Mus musculus: one gene and its partners. The protein of the gene in region 2 interacts with the protein of the main gene of each other region in a biochemical or structural test. Links are inferred from orthologs where the notes say so. Each region holds a gene or a part of one and is shown on either strand. Other genes may lie near its edges.

The links.
Region 1: the proteins of Thbs1 (region 2) and Plg form a complex in vitro, tested with the Homo sapiens proteins (2 studies listed by BioGRID). The link is inferred for Mus musculus from reciprocal best matches to the Homo sapiens genes THBS1 and PLG.
Region 3: the proteins of Thbs1 (region 2) and Lrp1 form a complex in vitro, tested with the Homo sapiens proteins (3 studies listed by BioGRID). The link is inferred for Mus musculus from reciprocal best matches to the Homo sapiens genes THBS1 and LRP1.

The regions. Positions count from the first base shown.
Region 1 is NC_000083.6:12,377,244-12,381,408, reverse strand, and holds the start of Plg (plasminogen precursor), read right to left. Parts: upstream 2,801-4,165; 5' UTR 2,742-2,800; coding exon 2,693-2,741; intron 1-2,692. UniProt on the Homo sapiens protein: Plasmin dissolves the fibrin of blood clots and acts as a proteolytic factor in a variety of other processes including embryonic development, tissue remodeling, tumor invasion, and inflammation. In ovulation, weakens the walls of the Graafian follicle.
Region 2 is NC_000068.7:118,110,414-118,114,675, forward strand, and holds the start of Thbs1 (thrombospondin-1 isoform 1 precursor), read left to right. Parts: upstream 1-1,462; 5' UTR 1,463-1,662; intron 1,663-2,201; 5' UTR 2,202-2,229; coding exon 2,230-2,296; intron 2,297-2,556; coding exon 2,557-3,116; intron 3,117-3,920; coding exon 3,921-3,996; intron 3,997-4,237; coding exon 4,238-4,262. UniProt on the Homo sapiens protein: Adhesive glycoprotein that mediates cell-to-cell and cell-to-matrix interactions.
Region 3 is NC_000076.6:127,618,349-127,622,616, reverse strand, and holds the start of Lrp1 (prolow-density lipoprotein receptor-related protein 1 precursor), read left to right. Parts: upstream 1-1,468; 5' UTR 1,469-1,929; coding exon 1,930-1,999; intron 2,000-4,268. UniProt on the Homo sapiens protein: Endocytic receptor involved in endocytosis and in phagocytosis of apoptotic cells. Required for early embryonic development. Involved in cellular lipid homeostasis.

The DNA.
Region 1 (4,165 bases), on a different chromosome or scaffold from region 2:
CCGTTGATGCCTGACAATGCTGTCCTCTGCTGCATATGCAGCTGGAGCCATGTGTATGCCTTGGTTGGTGGCTTAGTCCCTGGGAGCTCTGGGGGTCTGGTTGGTTGATGTTATTCATTTGATCTTCCAGGAGAGAACACGGCATGGGATACTGTTGATTGACTGTCAATGATATATGCTTTTCAATGACATATGACTTTTTTCTTGATGATGAAAGCATCTGGCATTTCAGAGAAAGTTATTAAAAAGTAGAGCCTGGAAGCTGGGCGTGGTGGCGAACACCTTTAATTCCAGCACTCGGGAGGCAGAGGCAGGCGGATTTCTGAACTCAAGGCCAGCCTGGTCTACAAAGTGAGTTCCAGGGCAACCAGGGCTATACAGAGAAACCCTGTCTCGAAAACAAAAAAAAAAACAAAAAAACAAAAAAAAAAAAACCAAAACAGTAGTGCCTGGTACAAATACTGGCTTCACTGTTGTTGTTGGTTGTTGTTGTTGTTGTTGTTGTTGTTGTTGTTGTTGTTGTTGTTGTTGTTGAGACAACATCTTTCTACCTGGTCTGGCACTCAAGCAATCTTCCTTCTTCAGCCTCCCTAGTGCAGAATTACATATGTGTGCTACCATGATTTGATTTTTGTGTGAGATGCAATCTGAGACAGAGTTGCTTGCTTTCCCTCTTGTCCCCATAGAATGTGGTCCCAGCTGCCAGGTGTCCCCTGGGCTAAGGTGCTAAAATGCTGGCTTAAGCTTGACAACTCTGTTCCAAGCCTGAACCCCTGCTACTACTCTTTTGTGTAAATAGTCATGATTTCCATAGCGGTGAGAGGACAAAGAGGTTAATGAACATAGAAAAGTCTTCATGGAATTAGGCAACATGGCAACCTTGACCTCTAGAGGGAAATCGAAGCCAGATCCAGCAAGTTAACAAGTGACCAGGATCGGAAGCAGGAACACTTGAGAAGGTAAACACAGACTCATCTTTGAAAGCCTACCCTCTCCCTCTCTGGTGACTCCATCCCTCCTCAATGCTCCAAACTGGAAAGCTGGGTAGAGAGTGTGGAGTTGGCTAATGCCCTTACACTGTCAGAGCGCTTGCTGTGGGCATAAGAGATTATGGAGAAATGGAACATTTTAGACTTCTGTTCCATTCCAATTCAAACGCCCACCTTGAGAAGACCCAAGCTTTGGGGAGCTGCGGAGCTGCGTGTGATTTGGAAGGCATACAGTCATCCTGCACAGCGTGTCTAGGCAGAGTTGGGCTAACCTGTGCTAAGAGTTCTCGGGGAGTGTGCCAAGGAAGGTCTCGGATGACGATGGAGAGGAGAGAGCCCTCCTGTTTGGACCATCAGCTTTGTGTCATGTTTATTGGTGGACAGCCGCTGAGATCCACCCAAGGAGCTGCCACTCCAAAGACATGTCCCCAAGAGGAACCGAATCTTTTCTTTTGTATTTGAATTTTTTCTCCAAATCTTTATCTCTTCTGTTTACCTCCAGGGCTCTTGTAGAAAATAAAGTTTAATATAGTATATTGATAAGGAGACTTGAAACAAATCTTTTAGTAGGAAAATTATTTCTTTGTAACAGACTAAATATAGATGGGTATTACCATCAAAGCAAAGAGGCTTTTTTCATTACTATGGTGTGTGTGTGTGTGTGTGTGTGTGTGTGTGTGTGTGTGTGTACTTGAGTGTGCAAAATTAAATCTCTGCTGAGCTTGATGGATGACACTTTTTATCCTAGCACTTGGGAAGCAGAAGTGGGCTTCTGAGAGTTAAAGGCTAGCCTGGTCTACATAGCAAGTTTCAGTCTGGTCAGGACTATATAATATGACTTTATCTCAAAAAAAAATCAATAGTTTGTTCACAGTTGTGGAAGAAGCGTTTTTATCCTCTCCCAGGCTATTTCTGTGCAATAGGAAATGAAAGTCAAGCCATTTCTGTAGATAATGACAAGTACTTTGACAAAGACCTTATGAAGGAATGCCCCTCAATTGGCAGAGATACATGTTGATCCTACTGCAGAGAATCTGGTTCGGAGTGACCCCTAAGCTTATAGTGTCCCCAGTGCTAGTTTCTACACACACACACACACACACACACACACACACACACACACACACACAATGTGTGTAGGAACCCTGACCTCTAAATAGGTATTTGTTTAATTACTGCAAATACATGACACTTTAAAATGGACCTATGTGACTCACGGAAGCATCAGAGGCAGATGTGTACCCATGCAAAGCCTTCCTTCAGCCAAACAGAAGATCCCAATGGAAACAGGATGGCTCAACAAAAGTTTCTAATCAGTCACACTGAAAACAAGGCAAAGAGGTAGACCATCTAAGCCCACTAACTACCACCACCAGGAACTGAACCCAGAACCTCAAATATGCTAGCCAAGTGCTCTACCACTGAGCCACATTGCCCTTTAGTCAGACCCCTCCAAAATCCCCCTTCAATTAGGTTTACAAAGCCACTGGTGGCTTGCTCTGCCTGTCCATCCCTACCCAAGCAGTATTCACAGGGAAACTGAATTTATATGTCGAACTCCTCAGTCTGACACTTTAAGCTGAAAGTCCCATAAGCCAATAGCTCATTTAAATGAATTGCCCAAAAAGACACAGCGAATCTATTTTTAATGGATGGCTAGAATTTTTAAAAAGCGGAACGAAACCTGTGCATCAAAATCTTACCTGGTTTCAGAAGCAAGAGAAACAGAAGGATTACTTCCTTATGGTCCATGTTGGGACTGGCCAACAGCACCTGGACAACTGTGTCCTAGTTCCTGGTGTTGACTTAAAGGGGAACAGAGGCATCCACAAGCAAGGTAGTCCAAATAGGTTAATTATTCTCTGGGGCCCCCACCACTGTATGCAGAAAGAGCAAACATTACCTCGAACAGGGAGCTTACAAAATGTTTGAGCAGAGCCTGTGGTAGATGCTGGAAGTGATGGCAGTGGCCTTCCCCATTGGACCCCTACACCCTGTTACACCTCTCCGTCCTCCCTCTTCCCTCTTACTTCCTCCCTCCTCCCTCCTCCCAAGCCACCATGTTGCCAGTCTCCTCTCATTTCTTTCTCTCTTCTTCCTTTGCTGAGTGCCTCCCATATGCCAGATTCTGCCAAGTGGTCCATACTCAGCCTCGTTTGACCTTACTGGCAATCGGCTGTACCCTGTTCCCATTTTCAGAAGAGGGGCCTGGGGTAACACATGATGTCTCAGTGTGTGTATTGCGTAAGCTGTATGAGCTTGTTTTTCATCCGTTATGTTGCGAGTAGCGGTTGGTTTTGGTTTGGTTTGGCTTTGGTGACCCCTCAGCTCTCTCCCAGCCCTGATGTTGACTAAGCAGTTTGACTAAGTCATATCATTTTTACAACACCGTCATATTCACGCCGCTTTCAAACTTAAGCAGTACATAACTTCTGTCCTGGTGTGTTTTAGCCCTTGACCCACCTGTATAGTGAGACTCGGCATTGCCGGGCAAGGGCCAAACCATGGAGAAGCACCACTAGCCTACTGTGCAGTGTTGAAATCCGTTTGTGAGTTGGAAAAAGAACTCAGTGGTAAGTGAAGCACTTACTGCTGCTCCAGAATTCAAGTTCCAGCACCCACATCAGACAGCTCACAGTCACTCATAACACCAGCTCCAGGAGATCTAATGTCCTCTTCTGGCCTTTGAGGACACACACACACACATGTGTGTGTGTATGTATGTACGTATGTGTATATATAAGTATATACATATGTATGTGTATATATAGATATATACATATGTATGTGTATGTAGGTATATATGTGTGTATACTTGTACATATACACATATAGGTATGTGTATGTGTATATATATGAATGTATATCTGCATTATATATATGTATGCATATGCATATATATGTATTTATGCATATATGTATATGTGTGTATATGTATTCATAATATATGTGTGTGTATATATACATATATATGTGTGTGTGTGTATATATATATATATATATATACCTTCCGCTTCCCAGTCCTTTCTTAATATCCCCTCCAGTGTGGATCTCTCCTCCATAAGAACTCGCAGTATCATGGTAATACCCTCAAAAGTGGAGGGATTCAGCTGAAAGACTATCTTTTTGTTTATTTGTTCTTGTTGCTTTGACATAGTCTCCTACTGTAGCCTGGG
Region 2 (4,262 bases):
AGGCACTGGCTGTGTAGCTGTGTACCCGGAGTAACTAGGAAACACTCTGTAAGCCCCTCCTTGCGTGTACGCACACATACCACGCACACTCACACACCTTGTCACCGAACACTCCCTCCCACACAAGGAAAGTGAAATTGCTGTGTGATGAGCATAAAGTCCTGGGTGTTTCCAAGGTTTGGGAGTCCAGCCAGGTGTAACTGATAAGGGGAGGGAGCCCCAGCTGTCCCTCAGCCGGCCCCGCCCTGATTCTGCCAAGATCCTTATTTGGTGATGCTTTTACCTGGATCCCTGGACTCAGAGCCAAGCCTGCTCACGCAGGGCCACAGCTGGAGAAGCATCGCCGCCGCTGACGTCCCTTCCCAAAGAGATGAATGGAATTCCAGGCAGCTGGAGTCATCTTGGCTCCGGACCGATGGCATTGAGACCAGACTTCAGAGACAAAGGATCAGGCAGCAGTCTACTGATGGAAAAGTGTATACCCACAGAAATGTAAACCACACCTCGGTTTTGGGAGCCGAAAAAATGAAAAAAAAACTGTTTAGGGAGAAAGATGGGAAATAAAATAATAGGTAGAGAGTAATTTATAACTCTACGGGTCCGTTCTGTAAATAGTGTAAGATCCTGGAGCCAGATGGTTCAGCAAATTCTCCTATCGGGAGTCACGTTAAGAAACACGAGTGGGCACAAAATTGTTTTTCAAGACACAATTTCAATTTTGCCTTGAGGGAGCGGGATATAAATTCGCTTCCTTAAAATGCCGCTAAAAACTCTCCGAAAGGATCCCCTAAATCAGAATACATATACCGCCCCCAAGCGGCCATCTGAGGAAGCAAAGTAGAACTGGGGAAAAAACTCTCGACTTGGACAGTGAGTCGGAAGGCGACCTCCGTGCACGGTCCTGCTGGCCCTGTGCAACACCGTGCTGACACCCTTAGTGAGTCAGACGGAAGGCAGGCGTGCGGGACAGGAGTGAAGCGCAAAGTATAGATGACATGGGATCCCCCACCCACCAGGATTGACTCAGGAGGCAGCTTCCTTTAAGGGGTCCAACCTTTTGCCCTCTTTTATTTTTAAACCAGACTGTCTCGATCCCCAAGCGTCTCTGTCATGGAATTATTCAAGGAGATGTGCTTTAATGAAAGCCTCCCTAAAGGGTCTTAGGTGGTCCCCAAAGAAGCATCGCGTCTGGGGACTCTCATGCAGAACGTCTCCAGTTCACATGGCGCAAGATCCTAAGCGCTAAAGGCTGAGTACGCCAAGGCTGCGTGGGCGGAGACCTATTTTTCTGACAAGTTCCAGGGCTCCTGTGCGGGATCGGAGTCTCCCCCTTCACTTTCAGCCCGAGAGCTGTGCGCCAAGCAGCAGGGGGCGGAGAAATGAACCCGTCCGTCCCCGTCCCCCGCCCCCGCCCCCGAGAACCCTCCCCCCTCCCTGCTTCCTGCCTCTTTAAAAGGTCCTGGGCTCCTCAGTCAAGCCAGCCACTGCCTGGAGTCAGCCAGCCTCATCGGACTTCTGCAGGCAATCGCGAAGCTGCTATCCAGTTCTGCCACGGTCTCTCCCGGCGCACCGGCAGTCTCAGCGTCTTCACCGGACTCAGCGTCCTTGTCCTTCACTTCACCTTTGCCACCTCTCCGGGTTACTGAGCCCCGGTGCACACAGGTAAACCTCCCGCCTCTGCGGAGCACCTGGCCGGCCACCTCAAAGCCCCAGGCTGCAGATGATCAGCGCTACTCCTCATCTCCTACTCTTCCCCTTCTGGTTTTCCTAACTCCTTTATCCTGCCCCGTCTATCCCCTGGAAAGAACTTTCCGGAGCTGGTTCTCTTCAGCCTTCGGGTTCACAAACTATACCTCCAAGACACCCCAAGATTTTCTCCCCAGTAGTCTCCAGGTTACCCCTGACTGTCGCCATCCAAAATACATTCTGTAATCTTGTCTAAAGGGGCGGGGGGGAGGGGACGGACCCAAGTCACTTTATACCCTTTATCCTGGAACTCCAACAATCCCCCTGCCTCTGGCGCTCTTTTTATACTGGATACCGTTTGGAAAGTAAACCCTTCTTTTTCAGCACATATGGGGCAAAAGAAGAAACACACACACACACACACACACACACACACACACACACACACACACACCTCTGCCCTTCCACCTTGCTTCCTGGTCTCTGACTCTGGCCTCCTGTGCTTCTTGCTACAGGCTCCGTGTTGGGCACAAAGGCTCCACCATGGAGCTCCTGCGGGGACTAGGTGTCCTGTTCCTGTTGCATATGTGTGGAAGCAACCGCATTCCAGGTGAGTTTGTGATATATTCATTTTCCTCCCCCTTCTCCTCTCTCTCTCTCTCTCTCTCTCTCTCTCTCTCTCTCTCTCTCTCTCTCGATAGCTCCTGTGTTTCCTTGGAGTCCTTATCTCCTGATAAGGATGCAGCTTCCCTCGCTCAGCTTTCCATAATTGCCATTATTGTCACGAGTTCCCACCTTGGCTCCTCACAGCCAGAACTTTACCCCCTTATACCTAGCCTAGAAAGCCGATTGTCTTCTCTCTCCTTACAGAGTCTGGGGGAGATAACGGTGTGTTTGACATCTTTGAACTCATTGGAGGTGCACGAAGGGGCCCCGGTCGCCGACTGGTGAAGGGCCAAGATCTATCCAGCCCCGCCTTCCGCATTGAGAATGCCAACCTGATCCCCGCTGTGCCGGATGACAAGTTCCAAGACCTACTGGACGCTGTGTGGGCCGACAAAGGCTTCATCTTCCTGGCTTCCTTGAGGCAGATGAAGAAGACCCGGGGCACACTCCTGGCTGTGGAACGGAAAGACAACACTGGCCAGATCTTCAGTGTGGTCTCCAACGGCAAAGCTGGCACCCTGGACCTGAGCCTGAGCCTGCCAGGGAAGCAACAAGTGGTGTCAGTGGAGGAAGCTCTCCTGGCCACTGGCCAGTGGAAGAGCATCACGCTGTTTGTTCAAGAGGACCGGGCTCAACTCTACATAGACTGTGATAAGATGGAGAGCGCGGAGCTGGATGTACCCATCCAGAGCATCTTCACCAGGGATCTGGCCAGCGTTGCCAGGCTCCGAGTTGCAAAGGGAGATGTCAATGACAATTTTCAGGTAAATCTTCTTACCTGTCACAAGGGCTATGTGGAATTAATATCGGTAGACTAAAAATGATTCTCAAATGTAAAGAGGAACAGACACCCCCAGAAGGTTGGTTAAATCATATTACAGATGACCCAAAACTCCAGGGTTTCAGATTTGATAGGGACCCGAGAAATTTTGTTCCTAATAAGAAATAAGTTGTAATGGTGCCAGGACCTGGGACCCATGCTTTCAAAGCTATCAGGAGAGATAAGAAATGGTTTTCCTATTACACTCAGCCTGTTTCAGAATGGGGTACTCCCTGTGCCCTTAGGAAAGTAACTTGTATCAAATGTACCTAGCAGTTTTAATAGGGCATGAAAAGGATACTTTGTCAGTATTTGAGTCCCTGGGCAGGGTGTTCTGGGTGCTTTCAGTATGGATCTAAGGCAAGACATGAATAACAGTCCAGTCATGTGCCTCTGGGACTCCTTACTTGCCTTAACTTTCAGATATTTTTTTTTCTTACAAGCGTGGCTTTGAACGCCCACATTAACTCTTTGTCACTGGAGAGTATCATGTCCTCCAGACTTGGGATCAAATTCCATTTCCTGTGTACCCCAAGCAGCCTGAAAACTGGATTCTTTGTAAAATGCTCCAGTTGGCAGAAGACACAATTAAGATTTTGAAGTTGTTCGGCAATTTATGTCTCTGTGATAGTTTGGCAGGATGATCTTAAGTTCTTTTAAACTTTCTGAGCGTTCACCACAAGCAAACTCAGACTGGCCGCCCCACCCCCACGCCCAGCATTAAACCACGTCTGTCCTCTGCCCACAGGGGGTGCTGCAGAATGTGAGGTTTGTCTTTGGAACCACCCCAGAAGACATTCTCAGGAACAAAGGCTGCTCCAGCTGTGAGTACCCCTGTGTTTTTTAAGATTTGGAGAATTCTGGGGAAGTCCACCGAAAGCACCCTGATTAATGTAAGCAGTAGGGTGCATACACAATATCTCAGGGGGAGCAGAGTTGGCTCGCACCCACTCTGTCATTCCAAAGGAAATGTCTTTTATAACCCAGAACCCGAAGGGTAGGCTGGTGGGATCAGCTGTTGAAACCTTGAATCAGCTATCGAATACGTTACATCTTATTTCTTAGCAGCTACCAACGTCCTTCTTACCCT
Region 3 (4,268 bases), on a different chromosome or scaffold from region 2:
CAGTATATTTCAAAAGGAAGAAAGACATCAGGCCTCTACTTGAGCACAGGCTGGAAACTGGACGGAGGAAAGATGGATCCTGAGAGTCCAGCCTGGGAGACTATACAGTTAGCCTGTCCGTGAGCCGCATAAGCTCTCATTGAAGAAAGGCTCTCAGTCATTAATGGACAAGTCTATTTTCTGCCAGTGACAGGCTGGAGTGTGTGTGGGGGTCACTCCTGTGGAGTTAGTGTACTGGTCCCTGGTCTTTAAAGTTCATCTCTAGCCAGGGATGTCGCCTGCTGAGCTTTCCAGAACTTTCACTTCAGGTCACAGAGAAAGTCAGACACTAAGGGTTACAGTCTTCAAACGTCGCCCACAAGAGGGCAGTGGCCGGAAGCACGTTCGCCGGCCCTAGGAACCGCCCGATGCTTTCTGGACTCCAGAGTACCGTTCCCAAACCGACTGAGACTGGGGACAAAGGTCCGGCACTCAGCACACAGCCCCCTAGGACTGGTGTCTGGTAGCGGAGCTCTGGAGTCCTTCATTCCAACTCCCTGTAGTTTGGCATCTGAAACCCTGACTTGGTGGGAGGCCAGTCAGAAGGTATCAAAAACAAAACAAACAAACAAAAAAAAAATCGAGCCTGACCTCTCAGGGCGAAAGGGGATGGCTCTACCCCAACCCCACCCTCTGGTGAGTCACCTCTCTCCAAACCAGAGCCTGCCTCTCCTGCGCCCCGTGCCAGGCGAGCAGGGCTGGGCGGGTACTAAGGTGGGCTCCATCCCTGAGCCCAAGGCGGGCCGACAAGCTGCAGCGTGTCCCCGCGGGTGTCCCTGTTTACTCTGAGCCCTGGAGCGAGGTGGGGGCGGGTCCATGTGGCCACTCCTTCACTCCGCCTCCTGAGGACGCAGGCCCCAATCCCAGACCGGTTCTTACAAAGTCTCCAAATCAAAGCTCAGCCTTTCCCGCACCTTCCCGGCGGACCGGCCACCCCTGCCCCCACCCTAGGCTAGGGAGGCACTGTCTGGGTTTCCCCAAGGAAATCAGGCCTCCGCCTAGACAGCGGCTCGGGACCCCACTGAGGGGATCTGAAATCCTGGGGTGTGACATAGAGTTTTAAAGAGGCACTAGAGCGCAGCTCTCCTTGCCCCTTACCCCATTCCCACCCTTGGCTCTACCGGCTCTAGGGAGCGCTGGGATGAGGTAGACGCAGTTAGAGGACAGGGTGCCCGGGGACTCCCACTCTCGGACCGCTTCCCAGAACTCCAAAGCTTGTAGCGCCTCCGACTCCCCCTCCCCAGGGCAGCGCGCCAAATCAGCGCATGCGCACTGTCAGGATTGCCGCGTAGCTCTTTCTCCCCCCCCCCCCACCTCTTTTTTTCTTTCCCCGCCCCTTCCCTCCTTCCCTCCTCTCCCTGTCCCCTCCCTCTCCCCTCTGAACACCCCCCTCCCTCCTCCCCCCCACCCCCCCCCCCCGCGGCACTTCAGTCAGGGGAGCAGCGGTGCGAGCTCCAGGCCAGTGCACTGAGGAGGCGGAAACGGGGGAGCCCCTAGTGCTCCATCAGGCCCCTACCAAGGCACCCCCATCGGGTCCACGCCCCCCACCCCCCACCCCGCCTCCTCCCAATTGTGCATTTTTGCAGCCAGAGGCGGCTCCGAGATGGGGCTGTGAGCTTCGCCCTGGGAGGGGGAGAGGAGCGAGGAGTAAAGCAGGGGTGAAGGGTTCGAATTTGGGGGCAGGGGGCGCACCCGCGTCAGCAGGCCCTTCCCAGGGGGCTCGGAACTGTACCATTTCACCTATGCCCCTGGTTCGCTTTGCTTAAGGAAAGGATAAGAATAGAAGAGTCGGGGAGAGGAAGATAAAGGGGGACCCCCCAATTGGGGGGGGCGAGGACAAGAAGTAACAGGACCAGAGGGTGGGGGCTGCTGTTTGCATCGGCCCACACCATGCTGACCCCGCCGTTGCTGCTGCTGCTGCCGCTGCTTTCAGCTCTGGTCTCCGGGGCCACTATGGATGGTGAGTGAGATTCCGGCGGCCCCCATGGACCCCTGGGGGCTCCCCCTCCCCAACCCCCACTCCTGCGTCTGGATGGGGAAGGGAGACGCGGGAGGGGGTGCCTTTTGTTATCCCAGTCCAGCTGACACAGCAGAGGCCTGACTGGGGGCGGGGATGGGGTCTGATTTGGGGGATGGGAGCCTGGGACAAATGATGCTTCCAGGGCCCCCCAGCTCAGACAAAGACCAGAGGCCTGGGTAGGAAAAGAGGGCTCCCCCTTTTTCTGATCTTGGGATTAAGAGGCCTTCTCTTCCTATCTCTGGTACGGGAGGGCCTCTGCCTCCCCTACATCCTCCACCCTCCCGCCCCCCCACCCCCATCTGAATTGTGAAGGAATCCGGATTTGCTGTGTACCGCTGCAAAAGGGGGCGGAGGGCCTTTTGCAGTGGACTCTGAAGGCTGGAAGGCAAAGCCGGCTAGGGGTGCCCTGCTGGCCAAAGGGCAGGCAGGCCGAGAAAGCTGTGGGTGGGGATAGGCAGGGCCCCCTGTTTGGGTGTGGAATGAGCCCTGCATCCCAGGCATGGAGGCCCGGGTCCAGAATCCTGGGCTGCCTGCCTGGGTTCCGAAGTGAGCAGCTCCCCGCTGAGGGCCTCAGTCAGGAGCCCGGTTGAGGGATGGAGGGGTCTGGTGACGCTTATGGCTGGCTTTCCCTTCTTAATTCCTGGGAGCTTTAAGATGAGAGGAAAAACGTCAGATGTCATCATTCTGGAAGAGACTGGAGAATGGTCTGGAACGCTGGGGAGGGGTTCAGAGGAAGCTCTGTCTCCCCGATTTCAGGCTTGATCACAGTTTGGGTTGGAAGGAGAGTTGGAGGTTGGGATGGGGGTTATGACCATGCCCCCAATCCTGCTCATTTAGTAAATGTGTAAAGCCCAGCCCTGTCTCACTTCATACATACACTTTGTATATTAGTTAGGTTTGGGCTGCTGTGTTGTTTTGGGGGAATTGCATGCCCCTCGTCCCTATTTCTGTCAGCTGTTTTTCCTCTTCCATGAGTCCCCAGTTCAAGACTTGCCCAGGCTTCACGCTGGGGTCATGGGGTTGAATTGGGCTGGGTCCCTAACTTGAGAAGGGGTGAGATTTTGTGACTTCCTGTCAGGTTTGCCTCTCACTGAGGACAACAGCTTCGTAGCATCTTACAGCCCTCCTCTGCCTTCAAGAGCTTGCCAGGCCGGGATTGGGAAAGTTTTTCTCTGAAACTAGATTATGTATCCTCCCCCACCCCTGTCTCTAACTTGTTTCAGTTGTGGGAGGAGGACAAGAGGGTCAGGAGGCAGCTGTGCCCAGGAAAACAGTTTACTCAGTGGCCTTCAGTCATGTCATGTCGGGGACTGTCTTGTCTAGCTGCCACCCCTAATTTTCTGCCTGCGATGAGGAAAGAGACTTTGCCCTGTCAGGCAAGCCTGTGCAGCCACCCTCTGTCCTTCACATCTAACGTCATCCCGTGCTTTCTTCTTGGTCTCAGAGCTGGGATGGGAGAAGAAGGGAAACTGAGGCAAAGAGCTTTGGGAAGAAAATGTATTAAGCAAGAAATGGACCTGCCAGAAGCCCTGTGGAGGAGGGTGGATGGAATCAGGTAGAAGGGAAAGATGCCCGTGGAGATGTGTGGCTCATTCAGTGCTGGGTCCTGGGAAGCAGAACCCCCAAGACCCTAAATGCTGGGCTAAGTTGATAGGTGGTCATTGAATGAGGAACTCTGACACGTTCCCCTTAACTGTCTCTAGCCGCGTACCTCTAAGTCTCCAGTTCATTTCAGCTCTGCACACAGTTTCTCAGGGCTGGGATAAAGGTCAGTGGTAGGGTATTTGTCCTAGTGCACGGGATGCCCCCTGTTCCATCTCTGGCAAGAAATACAGTCCGAGAGAAAGGACTACCTCCTGGGGAGGAAGAGAGAACCTGTAGAAAAGTAGACCCCGTGCATTCTGGAGCTCTTAGCCAAGCCCTCTAGACACTGAACATTCGTCTTGGCTTTCTAGAGAAGGACCCTTCTGCCTCGACCTACCTAACAGTTCTAATTGCCCTTCCTGTTGCTCAGGAATAACTCTAGGGACCGCCCCATACTCTCTTCCCTCTGTGTCTGAAACTCATCCGGGAGTCCTTTGCCTTATGGGGTGAGAGGCTTCACTTCCTCCTGGTAGACACATTTGGATACATTTGTAGCCAAGGAGGATGGAAAAGGCAGAGAAGGATCATTGACAGCCCTGCTGAGATGGGACACTTCGTGGTGGAG